Arabidopsis thaliana: one gene and its partner. The protein of the gene in region 1 interacts with the protein of each later gene in a biochemical or structural test. Each region holds a gene or a part of one and is shown on either strand. Other genes may lie near its edges. The genes, in order: EIF4A-III and ALY4.

The links.
Region 2: the proteins of EIF4A-III (region 1) and ALY4 form a complex in vitro, tested with the Arabidopsis thaliana proteins (one study listed by BioGRID).

Annotation. Positions count from the first base shown.
Region 1 is NC_003074.8:6,859,566-6,872,345, reverse strand, and holds EIF4A-III (eukaryotic initiation factor 4A-III), read right to left. Parts: upstream 8,686-12,780; 5' UTR 8,557-8,685; coding exon 8,249-8,556; intron 7,937-8,248; coding exon 7,615-7,936; intron 7,360-7,614; coding exon 7,252-7,359; intron 7,148-7,251; coding exon 7,028-7,147; intron 6,709-7,027; coding exon 6,541-6,708; intron 6,403-6,540; coding exon 6,316-6,402; intron 6,218-6,315; coding exon 6,104-6,217; 3' UTR 5,700-6,103; downstream 1-5,699. Other genes in the region: AT3G19780 (uncharacterized protein), read right to left, coding at 1-426, 671-1,059, 1,416-1,820, 1,952-2,108; VPS9A (Vacuolar sorting protein 9 (VPS9) domain-containing protein), read right to left, coding at 3,232-4,203, 4,328-4,507, 4,598-4,768, 4,850-4,997, 5,339-5,430; AT3G19740 (P-loop containing nucleoside triphosphate hydrolases superfamily protein), read left to right, coding at 9,416-9,969, 10,059-10,183, 10,303-10,397, 10,491-10,715, 11,063-11,147, 11,400-11,451, 11,919-12,070, 12,195-12,265 and 1 more.
Region 2 is NC_003076.8:14,978,414-14,991,494, reverse strand, and holds ALY4 (ALWAYS EARLY 4), read left to right. Parts: upstream 1-6,842; 5' UTR 6,843-7,019; intron 7,020-7,466; 5' UTR 7,467-7,516; coding exon 7,517-7,702; intron 7,703-8,512; coding exon 8,513-8,656; intron 8,657-8,737; coding exon 8,738-8,806; intron 8,807-8,915; coding exon 8,916-9,115; intron 9,116-9,216; coding exon 9,217-9,300; intron 9,301-9,506; coding exon 9,507-9,690; 3' UTR 9,691-9,876; downstream 9,877-13,081. Other genes in the region: AT5G37730 (uncharacterized protein), read left to right, coding at 4,611-4,845, 5,041-5,354; AT5G37710 (alpha/beta-Hydrolases superfamily protein), read right to left, coding at 10,095-10,388, 10,635-10,770, 10,844-10,972, 11,058-11,116, 11,635-12,336; AT5G37715 (uncharacterized protein), read left to right, coding at 12,050-12,073, 12,392-12,472. UniProt on the Arabidopsis thaliana protein: Export adapter involved in nuclear export of spliced and unspliced mRNA. Plays a role in disease resistance. Mediates multiple defense responses triggered by NEP1, including stomatal closure, hypersensitive cell death (HCD) and defense-related gene expression.

The DNA of each region.
Region 1 (12,780 bases):
CTTAGCAATTGAGCTCAATTTACTTTCTTTTCTTCTGTGAAGAAGATTTTTCAGTATCTCCTGCAGGGAACTGCCTTCCATACCTGGCGCTATAGTATCTAGGGCTACATGTTTACCCCCATCCATAATCATAAAAGAAACCTTATTCTCGAACTTAATTTTCTTAAACTTTTGGACAGTTTTCGGAAGTGGCACGGACCCCGATTCTTGATCAGTTTGACTAACGGGGTTCTCATACATAATATCATTCTCCCACTTTTTTATGTCAGACAATTTATGCTGTGCAGCTACCTGTCTGAAGGTATCAAGTGCTTTTATACTCCTTCTCATCTCCTCCAAGGACCCACTTGATCTATCCACAAAAAGAATAACTGACGGTTTACTTGCAGGTAGAGATGACTCATGGTCCTGCCAGTCGTCCTCCAGCTACATAAGAAAAACAAAGAAAATTGATGTATGTCAGGCAAGATAGAAAATTTTGAATGGACATAACTATATAAGCCTAATAGACATGTAACGACAGATTCAAATTGTATTGACTCAAACAACATAGAGATTTTGCTTTGACGGCAAAAAGCCGCTTATTGTCACTGGAGTAATACAAAATCAGTTAAATAAAGATACGTGAATATGCAAAATCAACTAAGCATACAGACAGAAAGAACCATACCTCTGTAACTATCGGATTTTCCATCTTTAAAAATCTCTGAATGTCATCCCCGGCCTTGAAAATCTTAGAACAATGTGGACATCCTGCCAGCTGAAGGACCGCTGCCCACGAATCAGATTTTCCAAAATTAAATGATGAAGCCAATGATTCTTCTGTGATCAGACCAAATTTTTGCCTTTCCGGAGGCAGAGAAAACTCTTTTGTGGTGGCAATCAATTTCAAGAGGAATGAACTAAATCGCTTGAACTCTTCATGGTTACATGTCTGTCCAAGACCCAGATTTACCCTGCCATGTTCCTGCAAAGCAGCAGTATCATTCGCATAGCTAAAATCCTCAAGCCAGGGAACTTTACCAAATCCACTTTGGAGTCCACACATATTGTTCCATTCTGCATAGCATGTTTTCAGGGTTCAAAGAAGATTAACATAATGGAAGCAATGCACCTACTAGAACATATCAACATCATCTAGACATGAAGTGAGAATCTACCAGGCACCTTCTGGTTATTTTTTCCTATTAGCTTCAGCACTCGATCAGTTTCTACTTTTTTGGAGAAGTTTCTTGCGAAGTAATGATCAGAATGTCTAAGGATTAGGCACACATTCCAATTTCTCTAAACTCTAAAGATCTATTACTAGCTTCATCTATTAGGAGATGAAGAAACTATATAGAAATCAACCATAAAAGAAACAAACATGATAGGAACATAATTAATCTCACAAGATCAGGAGGACTATCTCTCACCCTGCCAAAGGTTATCTTGAGTAACATTTTTCTTCAGCTCAGACATCAGTGTAGTTGTCCATCCGCAAAATTCGAACAGAAGTAAAGCCTTATCAGATGATTGAAGGAAATCTTTCAAACTCTTTGGAGACTTCAAATGTTTGAGAGGGAGTTCTTCAGGCGTAGATGTCAGATAAGGATGAATAGATGACAATATATTCGAGGCTCGGAGTTTCCCTAGATAGTTGTAAGGCACACTATTGTGATAGTACAAAATTGTTATCCCATTGACAGCAGCACCAATGGCTTGTGCTAACACCTTTTCTGAGTTTCTGTATACAACCATTAACTTCAACAAGCCAAACTCTTCTCTTCTCTGAACCATCTGAGTAATTTCATACTTAAGAGATCTGGACTCACCACACCCTATGAAATCAGTAATGAAACCAATCAGAAAACAAATAAAATAGTGATACATATCTCCATAAAGGTAAACCTCAGCAAGTGAGAAATTCAGCTTAACAAGCAAACTGATCTGAGGAGGAGAGTGAGAGTACATGGAGTGGTGACAAAGAGGAGGACGTGAGGGTGGAGACGGATCTGAGAAGAGAAGTTTTGCTCCGTGAGGATTTCCCATTCGCCATGGCAGCTTGAGGGAAGAATTATGGATACGAAGACCAAGAATGGAAGGAGGAGGAGCGTCGGCGTTTTCATCGGAAAACAGCTCGCTCTCACTCGTCGCGTCGCGTCTTCTTCCTTGTTTCGACGTCGCGATCCCGATTCTCTCCTGGTTGGTTCGGTTTAACGGATTTAAATTGTCGAAGGGTCAGCATTTTACCGGTTCGGTGGACGATGGTTTGGTTGCTTCCCTTATCACGTGTATAATAAAAAGTTGATAGAAGTTCAGAAAATTACTCCAAAATTATTGAAATTATCTGGTGGTGAGAAGACAAACATTTCCGACACTAATCAATTCGAGTATCCATGGAATTAATAACGATATGGTTCATCATCAATCCCGGTTCAGATTCTTGACCAACGAGTTTGACTGTTGGTTGGTCTTACGAGATTCCTCAGAATTCGTTGTTACTAGATTCACTCCAACTTAGCTAGATTCACAGAGTCTCTAGAGTCACAAGCAGCGACGTTACAAACTCTATCTGAATATAACCGTTCGTTGAAGGAGATGGTCAAGCTCACAAAGCCTTGTCTTGTGTTTTACTGTTATCTCAGGTTTTTCAGACACTGACGTTTGATCTGATCTTGTCTGACGCTCTCTCACAGCTTCCAACAACGTTAATCCATGGCAAATAAATAAAGGAAGCCTCAAACATTACAAATCATCTTTTTCTTATTCAATACTCTGTTGAGATTTTACCCATTCTTTTTGTCATGGAATATGTGGTTTGACTTCAGATTCCATTACTCAGCTAATTCACTCAATCATTTGCAAGACTACTTCCTTCTCATATCTAACAGCTTGGCAAATATTATTCTGATTATATCCTTATTGTATATACGCAATAGCAGATGTAAGAGTTACATATGGATTGACAAATGTTGACGAGCCCCTCCAAAATCATATCACTGAGAAACAAAGAGCAAAAAAAGAAACACAATTGAAGAAAGTAATTTACCATTTGACTGCCCCTCTTTTCCAAGGGAATACAGATGCAGATAGCTTCCGTCTCATACGGCTCTCCAGTCATCTTCAAAACTCATAACTCCAAGAAACGAATAGATGACATCTTAACTATGACTTGACCTTTGCTTCCCCCATTAAATGAATAATTGATCCGATACAAGAGACTCTCATCACCAAGATGGGTCATTTGGCTCACTCAGAAGCTTCCGTAACTGGCTGTTTGGAACCAACATCTTCATCTTCTGCAGGTCGGGAACTAGAATTGTCACCTTCTCTCTTAGGAATTTGCTTCATCAATTCAATATCTTTGGCATCTACTTCTCCTTGCACCTTGGAATCACGTTCTTCATCCTTTCCCTCTACCAACATTGCGCCATATTCTTCATGTTTTACATCTGACAGATTGTTAACATCTTCCCCTTCACCATGTAGAGCTCGGATCAAATCATCAACACTCCTGTCAGTTTCCTTTGTCATTTGTACATCTGAAGACGATCTTCTATGATCCTCAGATTCCTTAGACGTATTAAAACCGGACGACGCTTGCAAGGGTGAACTGGATGGAGCTAAAGATGTTCCATCACCCAATCCTTTGGTAAGGCACACATATTTGAAAACGAGCTGTTTATAACTATTTAACAAGCCTTCAACATCTCCTATCCTCAAATCACCAGCACTGGCAAATATGTAAGGATATTCTTGAAAGACTTTGCTTGGCTCGGTATCCTTCAGAAGCGTCGCACCCTTATTTTCCAAATCTGAAATGGATTCAGCTTTCTTCATTGGTGTTTCACTGTTTATATTCAGTAATTCGTTGGTCCCAGAAAGACTATCAGACGATTTTGATTGGAAAAGAGTGTTTTCCCTCTTGGGATTCAGACTTTGAGTTTTCTGAAGAGTGGACTCATCACGAGGGGGTGGTGCAGAGCCATGACCAGTTTGATAAGTCTGGCTGTCCAAACCAGAAATTCGTGCCCGTGCAGATTCCATGTTCTTTTCAAACTCAGCTTCATCCAGTGAAATAGATTTTGCATCAATATTTGAGATGAAAGACTCTGCAGAGAGTATGTTTGTGAAGAAGTACGCAGCTTCACCAACAAGTTTAGATTCACGCCTATACCTTTGTATATACAACAAGTTTGAGTGAAGTTGTGGAGGGTTAGCCTGCAAAAAGAAAGAACAGAATTAGCACTAGTAGATGTTCTTGCACATTCGAAACATAATCATGTACAACAAAAATACGACTTCAGATACCAGTATGCATAAGTTGTTCAATCGTTCCCAATACCTTTATTGTTACATATATCAAAACAGGAAGAAATTCGTCTGCTCCAGGTGCATTCTCGTTTGAAGCAATTGAAGCATTTAGCAGTAAGTTATTAATCACTTTGCAACAGTTAAGGATACACACAAGCTTATCACGAGGAGCTTTGTACATGTTTATCTTCTGGAGCTCTTTTTGAGCTAGCTGCCAAAAGGAGAGAAAGGATCACAAGTAAGAACACTAACAAAAAGAGGAAACACTACCGGGAGCTAGCTTTTGACTAGATCGGCTTACCAGCCATGACGATTCATTTTGAAAAGTTGGTTGTATATCCAAATTCTCGGGAGAAATGAATTGTTGAACCAATGACATCTTCTGAAATAGCTTCTCATCAGCTATAACCTCCTCAGTGTTTGAAGCAAACACCCGAGTAAATAGCTTTGTCATAACATACTTCTCCAGGCCCTGTGTATACAAACGAGCAATGATTATGGTACAAAGATGAAAACAATTCACAGACAGAAAAAGAAGAATACTGATACTCACATCTCCAGCACTATCCAATTCCTCCTCAGAACAACCAGACCAAAGTGGATGAGCCCTGAAAGCAGCCTCCATCTTAGAAAAGAACTCCTGAACCATAGCACAATCTTTTTCCGGGTCTGGTGCATTGTTCGAGAATGAAACAATGAAACTGCAACATCAACCAAAAAACATCCTTAACCACGCATTATCCACAATACTTCTATGCTCAATAAACAAACCATTCCAGTATGAAATCAATAATTTCTAATTGTTATACCCTATTAACAAGATCCAATTGTCTTCCCCAGTAACAGCAATTGAAGAAGCATAAATAAATGATTAGAAATCTCAAATCAGTACGAATTTTGCTCAAATAGTATCATCATCAACTGAAAATGGACTTAAAAACGTAAACCGCTAAGAAGCACATCCACTTAAGCTAAGAGGAAGATCGTACATAGAAACACACACATATATCCGGATCTGCATCAAAAGAGGGAGAAATGGGACCTTTTAATGGATTTGACGAAATCGCCGGCGGAGGGTTTGCGCATCCGCTCCAGGAAATCATGCAGCCCCAAGAAGACGTCCGTATTCTCCATCGCCGATCACCCGATTATCTCCGACGATTGACCAGTGAGAAGAGTAAAGTTAATGAGTTCCGTGTCGCTGACTACCAATAAACAAACAAAACCACGGTCGTTTATTTATTAAGTTCCGGTTATTGGTCCTGGTGTTGTTAAGTTAGTGAATCTAATTCGGTCCTAACCCGGTTTTGGGTTTCGTTCATCAATTTCACCCAACCCATCAACCAACGAGCGAGGACACCTGACTCCGTCAAATGAAACACACGATACGAAAAACCTCGACGTCATGTCCAGTAATTTCATCAACTTGCTTTGCTTTTGCAAATGATTGATTTTTGCAATGATCCAAGCTTTACGAAATAAGATAACAATGAACCGTTTCAACTGTCGAGCAAAAGTCTTACAAGTAGTGATAGTTGAGAGTTTTGACCCACAAACCACAATCAAAGCCCCCAGAATCAATTACGAGGAAACGAAAAACCAAACGGTCCAAACCCTAAACCTAAATCGCTTCTCAAGTCATTAAACATTTACCACACGCGAGTTTAAGTTTGTTCAAAAGAGCCCACAGAAACATCAAAGGAAATACACCGTTAAGATAGTGCAATAATTTGACAGAAGCGCTCAACAATACTTTTTCATCCAGACACTTCCCCGCTGAAAGCACAAAAATCTCAGACAAGCTCTTTTAGATAAGATCAGCTACATTCATTGGCATCTCATCAATCTGGGTACTGTAGTACTGCTCAATGTCTCTGAGAATCTTGATGTCGTCGCTTTTAACAAAGTTGATTGCAACACCCTAGAAAGATAACCGCAAAATTGGTTAAAAGATATCCATCTAGTATCTCCAGGCTAAGAAATTAAGCTCAGAAGCAGAGATTAGAAAAAGTTTCTTACCTTACGCCCGAATCGACCAGACCGCCCAATACGATGGATGTAGAGCTCACGGTTGTTGGGGAGATCATAATTGATAACAAGAGAAACCTGTTAAATAAAGATTGTCATGTCAATTCACCTTTACCATAAGAGAATGGAACATAATCTGAGACCTCAATAACAGAGATTGAATTTATTCCGCGCATTGTTATCTAGACAAAATATAGCGGATAAGTAATGACTTACTTGTTGCACATCAATCCCACGTGCCCATACATCTGTTGTTATCAAAACACGACTATCACCTGACCGAAACTCATTCATGATGGCGTCTCTCTCCTTCTGAGGCATGTCTCCATGCATTGATGAGACAGTGAAGTTGTGACTTCTCATTTTCTCACTAAGATAATCCACCTATAACAAATGCGGAGTTAGAGTTGAGTAAAATATAGAAAAGGAACCATAATTCAAGAACCCTAATTACAAGAAACATTGAAAAAGGTTTTAAAAGCCAATGCAATCTAATAGATATCTGCAGGTGAGTACAGGTTGCAAGTACTCTAGCGCAGTGGACTTATATTGTTAATTTCTTTTAGAAATAAAGAAATACATATATTCACAAGATAGTATGAATTTTTGAGCAATTACAAGATTGCAAATCAAGTTCAGATAGCAGTGCTAGAAGCTTAATGTTAACAAGTTTGAGATACAGTTGCATGAGAACCACAATTACCTTTCGTTTAGTATTGCAGAAGATAACAGCTTGAGTGATAGTAAGCGTGTCATAAAGATCACAGAGTGTATCAAATTTCCACTCTTCCTTCTCAACAGCAACAAAAAATTGTTTGATTCCCTGAAAAGATTGTACACAAAAAGATAGCCAATGAAGAATATGAGTGTCAACCTACTGTAAAAGTAAACATGAACGAGCATACAGAAGCATAAGAAGAAACATACTTCAAGAGTCAACTCATCACGCTTCACAAGTATCTTCACTGGTTCTGTCATAAACTTGGATGTCATCTCCAAAATCTCGTGAGGAAGAGTTGCAGAAACCAAGCAAACCTACAAAAAAAACGTATTAGGATTGAACTATTATAGAGTGGAATTTAGCTGTTCATAATACAGATAATAGCTACCAAATCTACACATAAGACATTCAAGCAACTTAACAGTGGCTAAAAGGTTTTTAACAACTTATAATTCTCTCAATCCACATAGAGTTCAAGAAGCCAATCCATAAAATAAGAAAGCTAATGCAATAACATCCAAAGAAACTAGAAGTTAGCCAACACATAATATTGAGCAGTGAAATTGCACCTGAAGATCTGGTGGAAGATATCTGTAAACATCATAGATCTGGTCCTTGAACCCTCTGCTCAGCATTTCATCTGATTCATCAAGAATCAGAAGTTTAATAGCTCTGGTACGAAGACTTCTCCTCTTTATCATGTCACAGACACGACCAGGTGTCCCAGACACAACATGAACACCATGCTCCAGCTTCCTGATGTCTTCTCCAACACTATTCCCACCGATGCAAGCATGTGCCTGAATATTGGCATGTAATCCAATAGCTTGTATCGTCTTCTCTGTTTGTGTAGCCAGCTCTCTTGTTGGGGATAATATCAAGGCCTGAACCCTGCAGTCCGAGATACCAAATACATGAGTACACATATAAAAAGATCTTGCAGCCTAAAAGAAAGTATTACTCAATCACTCTAACCGAAAAGCTAATAACTATCACAAATTTTCATTGTCATTTTGATTGAACATTAATGAATCATAATTCGTTCATCTATTCTACAAGTCAGACAAACAAATCCCACCAAATTTGTGAAATCGATAAGAAACAAAACCTAATGATTTAGGTTAGAGAACAATCCGAGCAAAGCAAGTAAAGTTCAAAATTGAAATGAAGGGTTTAATCCAGCTAAAGGAACAGAAAACATACTCTCTAGAAGAAGTATCAACGACTTGACAAACGGAGAGAGCAATCATAGATGTCTTCCCGGTACCGGACTGAGCTTGAGCAATAACATCACGTCCTTGAAGAATCGGCATAACAGCCCTCTGCTGAATCGCGGAAGGCTTCTCGAATCCATATTCGTAGACACCGCGAAGCACATCTTCCTTAATGCCCATATCATTGAAGCTCGTGATGGGCTCAATTCCATCGGTAGTCTCGAAGACCAACTTATCGTCATCCATAGCTCCACCGCCTCTTCTACCACCTCCACGGCCAGGATTCGCTGTCGCCATAAATCTCCGTCTAGATTTTTGTTTTTATCTCTCCTAGGGTTTTCGATTGATTTCCCCCAAATGCTTATTTCCTCTCTACAGGTATAGGTTCGAGATAAGCGCGGCTTAAAAATAGGGGTACGATTGTAAATCCGACAACTTGTTAGGGCTTTTTTGTCAGGAAAATACCGACTCTTATATGTTTAGTGGGCCTTTATAGTTAGGCCCATATCCATAGGAAGGCAAGTAGCAATTTTGCGTCAAAACGACAACACTGCATCAACGAAGCTGAACTTCGAACCCAGCTTCAGCTTCAGAAGAAGAACCTACAGACTTTAGATCGGTCTTTATCTCTCTCTCCTCTGTCGGGATTTTCTCTCTCTTCTTCACCCTATCTCGTTCCTAATTACATCTCCTCTTTGCACCAAGCCTGATTCTTAGAGCTTGGGGGATGAATAGAACCAGTTTTGTTGTCCATCTCTGTTAAACGGTTCGTGTTTTGTAATAGTTATGGATGACAAAAGCTGAATATATCATCATTTCTATATCGATGCCTCATATTCGTTGTTACATTGGATTTTCCGTTATGCGTCATAATCGTTCATTTTAATTGATGTCTGTTCTTAATCAATTAATTCCCTGAAGTGTGTTGTTATTCCTCTAGTCGAAATAAATTGTATAGAATCTATGTTTCTTTCCGAGTTACTATAGTATGTTTTGCGTTGATATTGATCTCGTTTTTTTTTTTTTTTAATGGTGCAATTACATGTTGCAATGCATTTAGGTTGGATAGTACAAGAAATGGACCCTGAAAGTGATTCTAAATCAATGATCTCTGTTTTTTTTTTTGTAGTTATATTGGAAGAGAAGGGACTTTGTGATGTATACAAGGGCATTAAAGAGGAACCAGAGATGGGGTTTGGTATTGCAGCAAGCCAAGTACTTAGTTAGGCCAGTCGTTCGTGACTATACGGTTTCCAGATATTGTGGATTCACAAATAAATTAACCAATAGTGAAAATTTGACAAGAAAGTCTCTACTTGGTTCATTTTCTCCCCGCGGTGGTACTATTGCCTCGGGAAATCATTTAAGTATTTTGAAGAATAGCCAGTTGCGTAGTTTTAGTTCTGAGGGTGATGGAAGGAATGCTAGTGAGGATAAACATATCTCTTTGAACAAAGAGAATGGTGTAGATGATGGAAAAACCGGGAAGGAGAAAAGTAATAACGGTGTTGGGCATTTGGATTCTCATGCTCAACTTGGAGAACAAGACCAAATAGAATGGCTCAATAATGAGAAGCTTGCTAGTGAATGCAAAAAGAAGGAGTCACCTTTCGTTAATAGACGAGAAAGATTCAAAAACGAGTTCTTACGGAGAATCCAACCTTGGGAAAAAATACAGCTTTCTTGGGAGACCTTCCCTTACTACATCCAGTAATAATCTACAACATGTTTTTTTTTCTCGCTTGTTGTGTTTCTTTCTCCATTTCTGCTTATGGATTCTGCTCATTATCTTTTCACAGCGACCACACGAAAGATATTTTGGTGGAATGTGTTACCTCACATATAAGACAAAAGAATGCCGCTTCCATATATGGTGCCCGTTTAGATTCTTCAAGTGGAAGAATATTGCTCCAGAGTGTTCCAGGTTTGTTATTGACTATAGAATAAAAATGGCAGACCAGGATTTGATGTTGCTCTTCTGTTATCAAGTAAAAATATTGAGGAAATGTTAGATGACCAATAAGAAATTTGAATTTTATTCAGGTACTGAGCTTTACCGGGAGAGGTTGGTACGAGCACTTGCTCGAGATGTACAAGTTCCCCTGTTGGTTCTTGACAGCAGCGTTCTTGCCCCATATGTGAGATTCTTATGAGTAATTTGCCTATAACATGCCACCATTTTTCTTTCGTTCTTTTTGGTGTTTATGTAATATTTTTTAATTCTGGATCAGGATTTTGCTGATGACTACAATGAAGAATCTGAATCTGATGGTGAGAACGCAGAAGCGGAAGCAGATGAATCCACGACAGAGTCTGATGCTGAGGAAGATTCTAGTGCTCAGAGCGAAGAGGATTCTGAAGCGAAAGCAGATGGGAGTGACAGTGAGGAAGCTTGTCTCGAGGTTTCTGAGGAAGCTATCAAGAAAATTGTGCCAAAACTTGAAGAGTTCGAAAAGGTATGATTGCATTAATTGAGATTCAGAAATTTTAGTCTGTACTGATTGTTCTTTTCCTAATTTAGTTGGTAATACCATGGTATTTCTTTTTCTTTTTGCGATACCCCGTGGACAATGTGATCTTGGGACCCTGTCATATAAGTTTTCTGATTCTTGATTTATCTTATTTGTATGAACTTGTTATTAGAGTTACTATGCATGAATTAGAAGGTTTCACCATTCCTGCCGTTTGAATGCTGTTTCTTGGTTCTACATGCGACTCTTTGCATTGTTCCTTTTTTGAACTTCCAATTAAATTGAGTTTCAGAAATTGCTGAAATTTGCTTACCTCCTCTAAATTGTGGCAGCTAGTAGCAGAAGAACTACATGGTGAAGCTTGCGAAGCAGCAGCTGTTGAGCATTCTGATAAAGCCAGGCGACCGGCAAAGAAAGGTAATCATCAATATCAAGGCTCTGGAAGGCATCTTCATCATTACAAGTGCTAGGTACACTTGAATGTATCAGTTTGCTAAATAAGTTTGATTTAGTAATTTTGTATTCTATCTAGTCATAATTTTCCTGGTATTGTCTTTCTATCTTAGCCTTTCACTCTTTCCTCTTCTACTTGTCAGACTGCTAAGTTCTCTTTGTGTGGTCAATTTTTTCACTTTTCCTCATTTCTATTTGTGTTTACGCTTTTTGCAGGAGATCGTGTAAAATATGTTGGACCTTCTAAGAAGGCTGATGCAAAGCACAGGTAGTTTACTGATTCACTTGTGTGATAATTATTCTCTAACCTTGCTGAAGAATATTACGCTCTAATATCTTTTATGACTCTGTCTCATATTATTTGACTTGATCTCTGCTTGCTCTGCCTATTCATATTAGTAGTAATTTGAGTAGTTCTGGTATAGGATTGGATGTGTATGAAACTGCTGCCACAATTGTTATCTATAGGACTTATTCATTTATTTGTGAACAGTGCAACTCGCATTACCTTTGCTTAACTAAATGACTTGTTTTTGCGTGCTTACCATTATCATCACTATCCATGGTTTTCTCAGCAATTTGACATGCCTGCAAATGTAACATTTGATCTTTTAGGAACACATTTTGAACTCATTGCTCTGGAAGTTATAAACTTCCATGGCATGCTAAATATTATGGATGAAGGATTGTAAATGCCCTAGGGTTTGTCTTTAACCAAAATTTCTATACCTACAGGCCATTATCTAGTGGACAACGTGGAGAGGTCTATGAGGTGAATGGGAATCGTGTTGCAGTCATATTTGACATTGGAGGTGATACATCATCAGAGGGAGGTGACAAGAAATCAACAGAACACTCTCATAAGCTACATATGCACTGGATAGATGGTATATTTAATTCATGGCGTTCTGTATGGTTGATGTGTGATTGCTCTATATTTGGAGAAATACCCTGTTTGTAGACGATTGACATCTTATGTAAATGCAGCTAACTTACATATTGTCTGCGCAGTTGGAGACCTAAAGCATGATTTGGATATGCAGGCAGAAGATGGCTATATCGCCTTGGAGGCTTTAAGTGAGGTATGTGTGGAAGTTACATTATGTTTTCGTGTTTCCATTCAGCTAACGTTGTACATTGGCCTTATATATAAGTTCAGATCTGATCATTTATCCAGCAGTAGTAAGTGCTCATGATATTTAGTTTGATTTGAAACTTAACATATATGGATTGTTCAGCGTATGCTGCGTTCTTGGGCTGGAAATTTATGATATCATTTCCCTAAGATTTGAAGTCTAGAGTAGCTTGACTTTGAATGCGGTTAGCTTACACTTTCTCCAAGGAACATACAACATGAAATGGCGTTAATTTATTCTTTCTTTTTTTTGTTCTTGTAGGTTTTACACTCCACACAACCACTTATTGTCTATTTTCCCGACTCGTCCCAGTGGTTGTCTCGAGCTGTACCTAAGTCAAAACAAAATGAGTTTGTAGACAAAGTTCAGGAAATGTTTGATAAATTGTCAAGTCCTGTTGTAATGATCTGTGGACGAAACAAGATTGAAACAGGCTCAAAAGAGAGAGAGAAATTTGTAAG
Region 2 (13,081 bases), on another chromosome or scaffold:
CCTCTTATTTATTATAATTGAGTTGAGAAAAAAAAAACTAGTACTTTTAGTTTTGGATTAGATGGCAATAGGTCGTGTAAAGGTTTTTAGGGAATTTAAATGTTAGTTTGAATTAGAAAACCAAATGTTAAAACTGTATTATCCGGGGGAGGTGACGGATTAGTCAATTTCTATGGGTATTTTACCGACTATTTAAATAATTTTTGTCGTATTCAATTGACCAATACACTCAATTATTCGTCTCGATGATGCAGCTAATTAGAAAGTTAGTATTTAATTACGCAATTAATTTTTAATTACGGGCACATGTCACGCCAAATTTGGATTTGACCAGCAAATTAGAGTTTGAAGACTTTAATTCTTTTTTCCTTAACTATAAACAAAGGTCTGGTACGTATTTGATTTCCATCACCATAACTATAAACAAAGGAGTATGATTTTGTTGCGCGAAAATTTATTTTTTCTAGCCTTCCAAAATTTTCATGCAACTAACCAAAAGTGGCAGTGTAAATTGGTAATAAATCAGTATAATTAGAAACAATCATTGACTAAAAAACTATACACAATATTACAATATATTATGGACCAAAAGTTATTGTATTTTATAAGATTTCCAAAATTTCATGCAACTAATAAAATTAGGATTAATTATAGAAAAACCATAATAAAGTATGGTCTATTATGAATTTAGCCATATTCTCGAGTGATTATAAAGACGGATATTTTTGTTTTTTCTAAAATATTAATTTGCCTTTATTATTTTTTCTTCTTTAAAATTTTAATTGGGTCTTGAGATATAATTTTGACGAAAATGACTTAAGATTTGCTCATGATTCACAATCATATACTTTTCAGTTATTGCATACATGATTGTTCTGAGTTCTTTAGACATTATCTTTTACGGTTAAGATGATTCGATCCGCATCTATAATTAGAGAATTTGGGTTCTATAACATCATCTCTTAGAGCTTAGATATCTTACATCAAAACTTGTTTAATTAGTTCTATTGGATTCATCGAAAAAGGTTGGTCGTATAAACGTTGTGTGAATCATCGAAGCATAAGGAAACGATATTGATGGAGTCGAAAATAATGATTTTGATGGAATGTAGAGTCGGTGTTAATAAACAAATTTGATTATCACGACGGAGAGAATTGCAGTCGATGGAGACGGTGAGGGTTGTTGGTCTCATGACGGAAAAAACGAATTGGATTATCATCAACAAATTTGAAGGCGAAATCGTCATTTTGCGGACCAAACAGTACCCAAGCTTATAAGTCCAAGTAGAATATACTTCTATTCTAGTTTTTATGTCAAAATATGCCCATATGTACAAAAGGCTCAACAAAAATAGATCAATTTTAAGTTTAAAAAGTGCCTACACATTTGTGGTCTACTAGTGGTTGAGAATTGAAGAAATGTTGAAAGGAACTAATACATGTTCAATCCACCTAAGAAACAAAAAAAAAACATATTTGTATGAAAAGTATGAGTTTCGACCAAATACGCAAACAATTCATTTGGTAATTAGTAATAGGCGATTTGATGATCCAAGATATTACTCGTAACACATTTGAAAACTTGAGACACGGATTATGTTGATTTTTTGGGGAGACTGAATCATTTTAATACATTTTTATCAGAGTTGATCAGATCAGTCAATATCGTTTATAAAAAAAAAAAGTGATATAAATTTCTTTCACTAAAATACTGAAAATAGTAGTCATCTTTTTAGATTTACTGGAAAAAAGGATTTTGTTCTGTTTTTTTTTCTCGGATCAGATAAATAACTTTTTGTGTAAACCATCGAAATTTAAATTCATAATTTTGAAGTGTAGTCATCTGTAAAATCCTAATAAAAGTCTAAAACTACAAACAATAGATACCTACCTATAGTCGTCACTCTCTTAGCTTTCCTCGACCCTACAACGTTTTTGTTTCCAGTAAATTCAACCTTACAAGTTGGGCTCCGGCAGTATCCGACAATATTTTTTTCTCTTCTCGTCCGGCGAGCCTTCCATATTCGGTGGTTCAGGTTGAATTTATTGACATTTTAAAAAAGACCATGTTACTATAGTCTCTATAGCAAAACACATGTAATATTGTAAAGTAACACGTTCTACCAATTTCTCATAATGCTTATTTCATCATTCAGAACATAGCAATCATAATTTTATCAACTTGGCATAATTATTTTTATTTCGCACCTTTTTGAACAAAATATTCAAAATTTAGTAGTATAATAAAATAGATGTAAACTCGCTGTAACTATCCTGCATTAATTATAGATATCGTGCACCTCAATTAATTTGATATGTACACCGAACTAACTTGTCTCGTATTACCGGCTTACCGTTTTCCAAATAAATAATTTTCTGTATTAGGTTCGTACTACATTTCCTGTGTCATATGTCTCACCTCACTTTTAGTTGTACTTCACCTAATGATGCATTGAAATTCCCGACTAAATCCTCCTTGTGAGGAGTATATTATATTATAGCCATTTTCTAAAGAGAAAATGAGGCTAAGGAACCATAGTGATTTGCGTAATTTCCACTCATGATTTGGCTATACACCTAATTACTCCATATTTATATATAATAGTGAAACCTTGTAGCTTATGGATCACCATTATCTAATTAAAGTGTAGTTGCCATTATTGATATTTGCATGGGAGAATAAATATGCTGACCAATTTTTCACTAAAGTCTCAATGACCTTAGTTGTAGAAATATATATAAAACAATGTTTTTATGGTGGAAAACTTTCAGAAAAGATTCCACTCATCTCTCTTTCTCACCATAGTTGATGCATCCACATTTGAGCCAACAAGCCAATAGCATTAGATTCATAAAGAAAAAAACTTAAACGTACGTACAAATATGCAATAAACAAATTAGTGATCATTGATCAATAACCATCATTTTTATAACAAAAAGTGGTTTTTCACATATCTATGAATAACCCCATCGATAAATAATTTGTGCTCTTGATGTTTCGGGACTTATAATATGAATGTAATTAAGGATATTATAGATTCTTCTCAATAGAGTTTCAATATGGATGGAAACTCCTAACAATTACCTTTCATGGTCTCTTTCTATCTCTATATCTCTTCCTTTGTGCTCTTATAAAACGAAAGCAATAAGTATATGAAATCCATGCTTCTTTACTGATGTATGCATAGAAGACTAATATATATATATATATATATGAAGATATATAAAGAGTGATGAAAGGGGAGAATAAAAAATTGTTGGTGAGTGTGAATGTTCTTGGAAGTGTTGGCCCTATAAGGTTTTTGGCCAATGAAGACGATGAAGTTTCAAGTGTTATTAACACAACCTTGAAAGCCTATGCTCGTCAAGGGAGGATCCCGGTTCTAGGGTTCGAAGTGGATAACCTCAATTTCTATTCCATTAACGCCGGATTCAGTAGTATTTTCCATCCACCACTATTTAGTTTGTTCTCTTAGAATCACCTAAATTCTAGATTAATCTTGACCCGCTTATAAAAAATCGCATTAGTTGTTTAACGTTGTGTGTACAAATTTTGGTATAAAATTCTAAATCGAAAGTAATTTGATATTTGTTTATCATTTTTTTGGTGTTAGAATTGAATACACACAAGAGAAGATAGGATCAATGGATGTAACGAATTCCTTGTTGTGCATGAAAGAGCCAAGACCATTGGAAAAAGTCCAAAGAAAAATAGAGAGTAAAGCATCAATCTTTTGGAGGGACCATGCATCACCACTGGATCAAACAACACTTGGTTACTATCCATGATCTTTGCATATAAATAAGGAAGCCTATCCTCAAAGGTAAGGAAATATACAATATAATATCCATCTTTTTCAAGTAGTTTGACCCTAAAAATGACATTACATCCTTTTTCACCACTCTTGTTCAAAATTTCAATGAGTACTGTATCCATAGTGATTTGCATTATTTCCACCCATAGTTTGGCTATATACTTTTAATTAATCCACGTTTATATATGTTAGTGAAACATAGCTTATATATGTTTTACTATTTTCTAAATTCTAGTTGCTATTATTGATCTTTTGCATGGGAGAATAAATATGTTGACCTATTCGTTCACTAAAGTCTCCATTATGATTTATGCACATTAGTTGTAAATAATATAAAAAGGTTTTAGTGGTGGAATAGTTTCAGAAGAGATTCCACACATCTCTCCACCATAGGTGATATGCTTAGCTTCTTCATTTGAGCCAACAAGCTCTAATAGCATTAGATCCTCCAAATTTTCTATCGTACACTAAACTTACTAGTGACCAATAACCATTAATTTATTAACAAATTTAGACCCGCTTTAGTGGTTCTTAACATATCTATGATTATCAATAACCCCACAAAACTAAAATTCGTAGCCTTGATAGAAAATCTCTCTAACCTATTGTGTCGAGACTTATATATGCATGTAAGCATATATATTATAGGGTTATTCTCATATAGTCTCAATGGATGGAACTCCTAACACTTACCTTTCATGTTGTCTTCTCTTCCTTTAATTTATGCATCTATAAAACGGAAGCAGTAAGCAAGTAAGTTTCATTCTTCTTTAATGGTCTATACAAAGAAAAAGGATGAATAGAAATGAGAATGTAAAAGGAGTGATGAAAAGGAAGAATAAAAAGTTATTGGTGAGTGTGAATGTTCTTGGAAGTGTTGGTCCTATAAGGTTTTTGGCCAACGAAGACGATGAAGTTTCAAGTGCTATTAACACAACTTTGAAAGCCTATGCTCGTCAAGGCAGGATCCCGGTTCTAGGGTTTGATGTCGACAACTTCATTTTCTACTCCATTAATGCCGGATTCAACAGTATTCTACTCCACTCTTGCTTGTTCTCTCGGAGTCCGTGAATTCTAGATTAGTCTTGAGATCGGTTCAAGATTTACATGGCTAAAACAGAAAATCACCAAAACAATTTGCATCCTTAACCTTGTGTGTACAAAATATTGTATAAAGTACTCATTGAGCGTAATTTGATTTGACTGTTTACATTTTTGGTGTTAGCTTTGCATCCACAAGAGAAGATAGGTTCAATGGATGTAACAAATTTCTTGATGTGCAAGAAAGAGCCACGGCCACTGGAGAAAGTCGAAGGTATAAGAGAGAGTAGAGCTCGGATAGGCCATGGATGGAAAACTACTCATCTTCTTCGGTTTTTATTAGGATATATTCCTTACAATCACAAACCTAACTCTACAAGTCAAATGGACTATAGATCATTCGGTGATGGGAACGCTTATTGTATAGAGGAGTACCAACAAGAGTTTCAAAGGATTACCAAAATAAAGGAATACCAACGAGAGTTTCAAAGGTTCTAGTCTTCTAGAATAAATTTGGGATGGAAGCAAAATGCATTGGTCGACAGCCTTTCGAGATATACTTTACAATTCAATTGTGGACAATGATGGGATTATACAAAATATTTGAAAAACTACATTCTAAAGATCTCTATACATTTTGGTTTATACTAGTTCTGAAATCTAAATCTAAATCTAAACAGAATTTGACCGCCAATTTACCATGTACTAGAGACATTTTGCAAGAAAACTTGATCCATGAACTTACTTGACTAAGATTAAGAACAACTAATGGACGGTATCTTCGAATATATGAATACTAGTAAAGTCGTTTGCAAAATATTCAATTCAAAACAAATGTCTCTAAGTTGTACATGGTAAAATGGCAATCAAATTCTATTTGAATTTCATAATTTTGAATGGGAAAAATCTTGAAAAAAACTCTAACTAATTTTTATTTGGACGTTTAATACTCAATTGTTTTTAGTTGGAAGAAAATTACACGAAGTTATAAAACTGTACAATTTAATACTCACGATCTCACCACAAAAATAAAATTCTAATTTTATCCTTACCATCTTAATTAACTATTAATTTTTTAGATTATATGATATTAATTTTATAATTTTGGATAAAATTTATTTTTTAAAATTTTTTATTTTATGGCGTCTAAAAATTTTAAATGTCATTTTTAACTAGAATTATTTTATTTTAAAATTTAACATAAAAATTAGGAGAAAATCACAAATATTTTTTAAAAAGATCTTTAGAATGTAGTTTTCATGATTATATTCTAAAGATCTCTATATATTTTCGTCTCTATACTAATTATGAAATTCAAATAGAATTTGACTGCCAATTTACCATGTACTAGAGACATTCTAAGTTTTTGCAAGAAAAGTTGATCTATGGACCATATCTTCGAATTTATCCCTACATTATTAAAAGGGAAGTACAAATTGAAATTTTGTCTAAATTTGGCTTCAATTTTGATTTCAATTTTGGATTTTGTTCTTTGCTATTCAAAATCATTAAGAGTAATTTGGTATTAACAATCTCCTAAACTTTATATGATCCGATTCAATCTAAACCGTTCAATAAAATTAATTCCCTTCAATCTAAACCGTTTAACAAAATAAAGAATTTATGTCGTTTTTGAAATCAAAATATGATCACATTCCATCCCTAAAACACTATACTCAATCACAAAATCAATAATCGATAATATCCAAATCATATATTACGATTCTTCACTAATCACTAGATATTTATATTTATAAATTTAAAATATCAAATTTATTCAAATATTTAGTATAAAAACCAAATCTACCGATTGCCCGCGATTGCCCGCGGGTTAAATTCTAGTGTATACTAGTAAAGTCGTTTGCAAAATATTCATTTCAAAACAATGGTCTCTAGTACATCGTAAATTGGCAATCAAATTCTATTTGAATTTCGAAATTTCGATAGAGACGAAAATAACCTTCTAAGTGTTCTATAATTACGAAATTGTCCTTACCCTAGACTTAAACCCCATATTTTCTTCCTCCATCCCTTCTCTGCTAAATTCTGTCTGATCTAAAAAATCAACGAACACAAAACTCATCAAAGCTCCTCAAAACCCTAAACACAGTCTCTCCATCTTCTTCAATCTCTCTCTCGTTCGGATTCTCATCTCTTCTTCTGGTAATTTCTTCTTCTTCTTCTTCTATCTTCTTGCGAACCATTCGTGCTCTTGAACCATCTTACTTGATTAATTTCGTTCTATTCTCATCTGCTTGCACGCAATTATTAGTTTTCGTTTCAATAACTATGACTAGGTTAATATAGGATATAGATCTAGGGTTTCAATCGATGTTATGTTTGATTTGAGAACTATAGATTTCCCTCGTAAGTGATCTAGGGTTTATCTGATTAGCTCTCAATCTGATTGGATTGATTTGTTTCTCATGAGCCTTTGTGTTTTTCTACACTGGGTAGCTCTAAAATTGCAATTTTGATTGAAATTTATTGTTTGGGTCATTAAGCTAGTGCTTGTTTGAGTTAGAAGATAAGCCAGTTTTATGATTATGATATGTTTTTCTTGTTCATGTTTTTGGTGGTAACTAAACACTCCTTCTCTAATTTATGCAGGTTTCAGATTGAGTCTTGTTACTGTGTTTCATAAGACTATTGAAGTTAAGATGTCTGGAGCATTGAATATGACTCTTGATGAGATTGTTAAGAGGGGTAAAACTGCAAGGTCTGGGGGAAGAGGGATTTCTCGTGGGCGTGGTCGTGGACGTGGTGGTGGTGGAAGAGGAGCTGGACCTGCTAGAAGAGGTCCTCTTGCTGTGAATGCTCGTCCATCATCTTTCACCATTAACAAGGCAAGCTCAAAATCTGGGATCTTCTATGTGTATGATTTGGAAATCTGAGTTTCTGTGAAGCATTTACTTCATCATACTATATCTAAACGATGGGAGAAGCAGGTTTTCCTGTCCATGCGGAAAGCCTTACTTCTGATGATAGTTTGACATTCTTTAGCATTGAGAACATCGCCTAGGAACATGCTTCTTTCTAGTTCATGGAGATGTTTTCATTTAGGAATGCCTCTTACCCCTGCAGTTTCAGTGTACTTTGTGGTTTATGTTGTTAATTGTGAGGACTTTGGCAGACAAGTTATTGGTTGCTTTTGCGACAGTACTTAGAACCTGAGGAGCTTCAGTAAGATGAAGATCAAAATTTGTTCTTCCAGTACAATTAGACATGTTGTGCATTTCCGTCACACAGTTTCAAATCCTCAAAAGATGTGTGGTGTTGTAGTAAATATAGTGACTTACCCTCCTAACCCCTACACAGTCTTAACTGTATCATGCATGAAGTTATTGATGAACGTCCTGCTGCATTTGGAATTTCTTCAGCATGCTATGAGCGTCGGTTTTTCTTTTATCATCATAGCCTTGGTACAAAGAATTTGTTTTGGAACCGGAGCATAGTCGGTCAAACTCATTGTTCCTCCATTTCATTTGGTTTTCTCATTGGGTGGTTCTTGACTACTCGGTGGAGCTCTTTGCTTTGACTGGGTTTCCCTCTTCCAGGCATATGGGTGGTCACTTCTTTGGAATTGTTTTTCATTGACGCTGTTTTTGAAGTTCGACAGACATCTTGTACTGAAATGATTCTGTTCTATTGAATAGCCTGTCCGTAGGGTCAGGAGCTTGCCATGGCAAAGCGGTTTGTTTGAAGATGGCCTAAGAGCTGCCGGGGCATCAGGAGTTGAAGTTGGAACCAGGCTCCATGTTACAAATCTGGACCAGGGTGTGACAAATGAAGATATAAGGGTATAATCAGACTTCTATAATTTGTGCATTTGGTTTCTTAGAGGGGAGCCAGACACTAAAATGTATCTTCATGGGATCTAGGAACTCTTCTCTGAGATTGGGGAGGTAGAGCGTTATGCGATTCATTATGACAAAAATGGGCGTCCAAGTGTAAGTCCTCACAAATCTTTATCAGTCCCATTCTCTTCATGATTTTGAAAAAGTTTTATCTTGTATGCTCTTTCTAACAGGGATTTTGTTTTGTGCCATGTAACTATAGGGCACAGCTGAAGTGGTGTATCCAAGAAGAAGTGATGCATTTCAAGCTCTGAAGAAATATAACAATGTGCTATTGGATGGAAGGCCAATGAGACTTGAGATTTTGGGTGGCAACAATTCTTCCGAGGCTCCTTTATCTGGTCGTGTGAATGTGAATGTCACTGGACTCAATGGAAGGCTGAAGAGGACGGTTGTTATCCAGTATGAATTTCTGTCTTTTCTTTTTGTTTTCTCAGTAATCGCATGAATAACTGTTGTGAGACTAAATCCAAGACTTACACAATCTTCTCTGATGCTTGTAGACAAGGAGGAGGAGGGAGAGGAAGAGTTAGAGGTGGGAGAGGAGGAAGAGGTCCAGCTCCTACTGTCAGTCGCCGCCTTCCAATGTAAGTATAAATCTGTTTCTCTTAATTCGTTTAGCGGAGAACCGAACTGAGATTTGTCAACTGCATTCCATATTAAACTGCATGGTCACAAAAGTTTTGTTCCTATTTTTGTGTAACCAAACCGAATAAATCAAAATTCGTAGTTAATTGATTTTCGTTTGTTTCGGTTAATGTTTTAATTTGCACTTGTTTTCTCTTGGTGGCAGTCATAACCAGCAGGGAGGAGGGATGAGAGGAGGAAGAGGCGGGTTTCGTGCTAGAGGGCGTGGTAATGGTGGCCGTGGTCGTGGTGGTGGAAGAGGAAATGGAAAGAAGCCAGTGGAGAAGTCAGCTGCTGATCTTGACAAAGATCTTGAGAGCTATCACGCTGATGCCATGAACACCTCTTAAATCGTGTTGTGTTGTTCTTACTAAACTAGTTTCAGATGAAATCATGCTTCTCTTTTTTTCATGCTCTTCGTTGGTTTTGTTGGATGTTGATTGTAAAGTAAATGGAAGCCTTTTAGAATCTAGCTGTCTTAAATTTTCTTTTATATAAAGAGTGATTTAAAGTTACCAAGTGAACTGTTTTAAGATCGGTTTTACTCATCAAATTCAGAAGTCTAGAGAGAATTAGGTTTTACATTGTAATGAAAAAAGTGAGTCTGATTGTGAACAAAAATTTCTCAGACCAATTTAACCGGATTATAGACATTCTCACACATCCATAAAGCCTAGAAAATTTACAAAACTGAGTTAAAGAAAAAAAAAACACACACCATTGAATCACAACCATCAACCTGACGCAAGCCTATCTACCTTTCAGGAACAACGTTATCGTTGAGAACGAATTCTCCTGAATTGCTTCGATGGAAAAGCTTGTCCACAACTTCATCCCAATTCTTCTTCTTTGTTTTCAACTCCGCGGATGCTTCTCCATTGTTGCATTCTTCTTCTTCTTCCGCGGTGGACACTGCGTGTGGGATATTAAGACTCACGGCTCTCTCCAACGCATCTTTGTGCTCTTTCTCTAAAGTACTTAACCTCTCCATTCTCTTCTCTTTTGGTGCCATTGTTACCACTGTCTCTGAACTCTTCTCTCTCAATATCTGTAACCACACACCACAAAACCCACCATTTATAAAAAGAAGCCTAACTAGTCCCTTACTATTTTGTGCAAAGATAGTAAAAAAATTTGTAGCAACAACACAATTAAAGATTTTATACTCTTAACAAAATCGTCGAAAATCTAAATCTTAAATCCTGTAACCTTACTTAAGCCTTATAAACTAAATCCTAAATCCTTAGCCCTAACCATTGATCTAAAACATAAAAATGCAGAAATTAAATGTCACCTGCAATGCCTTTTCTGCTTCTCTTTCTATCCATAGAATCGCATGATCCGATGTTGCATTCGATGATAATACTATATGCTCAAATCTACCATCAACGGGAATCGCGGTTCTCACTTCGGGAGGAAACCTTCCACATCTAAATACAAAAAATAATCAGAGGAAAAACAAACAAAAATTGCTAAGAAATGCCACACTAACTTCATTATTACCTGCAAAATTTCCGCTCAACGATATGATAAATTCGACCAGGAGCATAAAGCCTTCTAGGATCTCTTAGTTTCCGACCTTCCGGTATAAATGTATCCCTCAGACAAACTAGAAACAACAAGCACGGCAAGCTGTCCGAACAACGAATACAAAATGTTGAACTATACCTATAACAAATTCATTCCAACAAGAGCATTTTCGAAGTTCGACACTTACCAGAATACAGACTTGAATATATCCTCTAATGGTGTCGCTGTTCTCGGTAAAAAATCATCCTATTATTCCACAAACACTAAGTTTTGTTAAAATTCTTAGTAAAATACCTTACTCTATAAAAATTCTCTCTATAGACAGATACCTTTCTTAACAACTAAACAACCTCCAAAACTAGTACAAAATTTAGCAGAATATTCTGACCAAACTCAAGAAGCAAAATGAAAAATTCAATTCGTCGATTCATTGTATAAAGCAAAAGCATATTCTGAACTTACGAAACAGGATTATGACAATGCTTGGTCAACAATGAACCAACCACCACCATCCAACAAGACAGTTACAAATATAATCCAAATTTTATATCAAAACTATAAATATATTCAACTCTTTACATAACCAAAAAAATTAGTTGTCAGAAATCAATCTCTAACCCCAAAAACAACTAAACCATAACACCCTTAACTTAAATACAAGTGATTTAACATTTCTAATATATTATTCTTTGTTAAAAAATCAATTTTTGTAAAAATCTTTTAACTAACATTGAGATCATTAAAACATGGTTAAATTTTTTTACCTGCAAAATGACGGAGGAGATGACGTCAGCATACTTAACGGCGAGATTAAGCGACATACATCTCGCCGGAGCCAAAGCAAAACATCGAACCTTATTCCTCGGAATATCACCAATCATCGCCGGAGTATTAACAACCAAAACCGCCATCAACGCCGCAACACCAGAACCCAAAGAATGACCAGCAAAAACCAAATCATACTCTCTACCATTCTCTTCCCAAACTCTCCAAAGAGTCTCAGATTCTTGATTCAAAACCCAAGCCGCAGATTTCAACAACCCACGATGCACATAACCACCACCAAGCATTTTCTGACCTAATTTGTTATCTAACAGAATCTTGTAATCACTCTCTTTAGCTAAGTTCAAGCCACGAATCGCTAAAACAATCTCACGGTGGTCGTGATCTATGTAGATAATGTACGGTGGAGATCTTCCTTGGGTTTTTTCGTGTGTCACACGTTTGATGACCCATTCAGGGTTTAGATCGAAAGTTCCTAACGAAGGTGAGATTTTAGGGTTTCTGAGATCGGGTTCGTAGACGGCGAGGATTACTCGGCTGATTCTTGGGATTGGTTCGAATTCTTCCGGTGTTGCTGATGTCCACGTGGCGCTATCGTCTGAGCCTACGTGTGTGCATCGTTTCCATGCCCATCTACTGAATCCTACACAGAAGACACATTCTAGTCCACAAGCTACTGACATTTTTGACCCAAAGGTGAGATTTTTTTTTTTTGAAATTAGAGATTTTTGGTTTCAGAAATCAGAGGAAAGATTGAAACTTTTTGGCTCAAAGATGAGATTAGAGAATTTGGGTTTCAGAAATCAGATGAAAGATTAAAAATTTGAGATAAAGGTGAGATTTTTAGAACTATGAATTGGTTTGAGAGAAGACAAAATTTTGACTCAAAGTTGAGATTTTTAGGAGATGGGTACAGAGAGGAGATGGAATTAGAAGACTTGGTTTTTGATTTTTTTCAGAGGAAGAGAATCTGAAATTTGAGACAAGAGAAATTGGTCAAATTTCGAGGTCGAATGGGAAATTAGAGAACTTGAGATTTGATGAATATACAGTAAAGAAAAAATATTAAAATTTGAGGAAATACATGGAAAAAAAAAAGTTGTAATAAGAGCCAAAAGGGATAAAGAAGAAGAAGAAACCAGCTAAGTATAAAGACAGATAAGCGAGATTATCTCTCTTTCTGGGTGTTTCGAGACAGAGACAGGCAAGAAGCCCAAAAAGCAAGAATTGAAGAACTTGTCCATTTTCCCATGTTTTGTAATAAAAAAACGCCCAACTTTATTCCGTTTTATTTATTTACTCCTTTTGTTATTTTTAATTAATTTTCTAAAAAAAAAATATTTAAAATATATATTAAATCTGATCATAAAGAATATTCAATTATTTTTATTGAAGTTTAAAATACATCAATAATACTGCATATAAAAC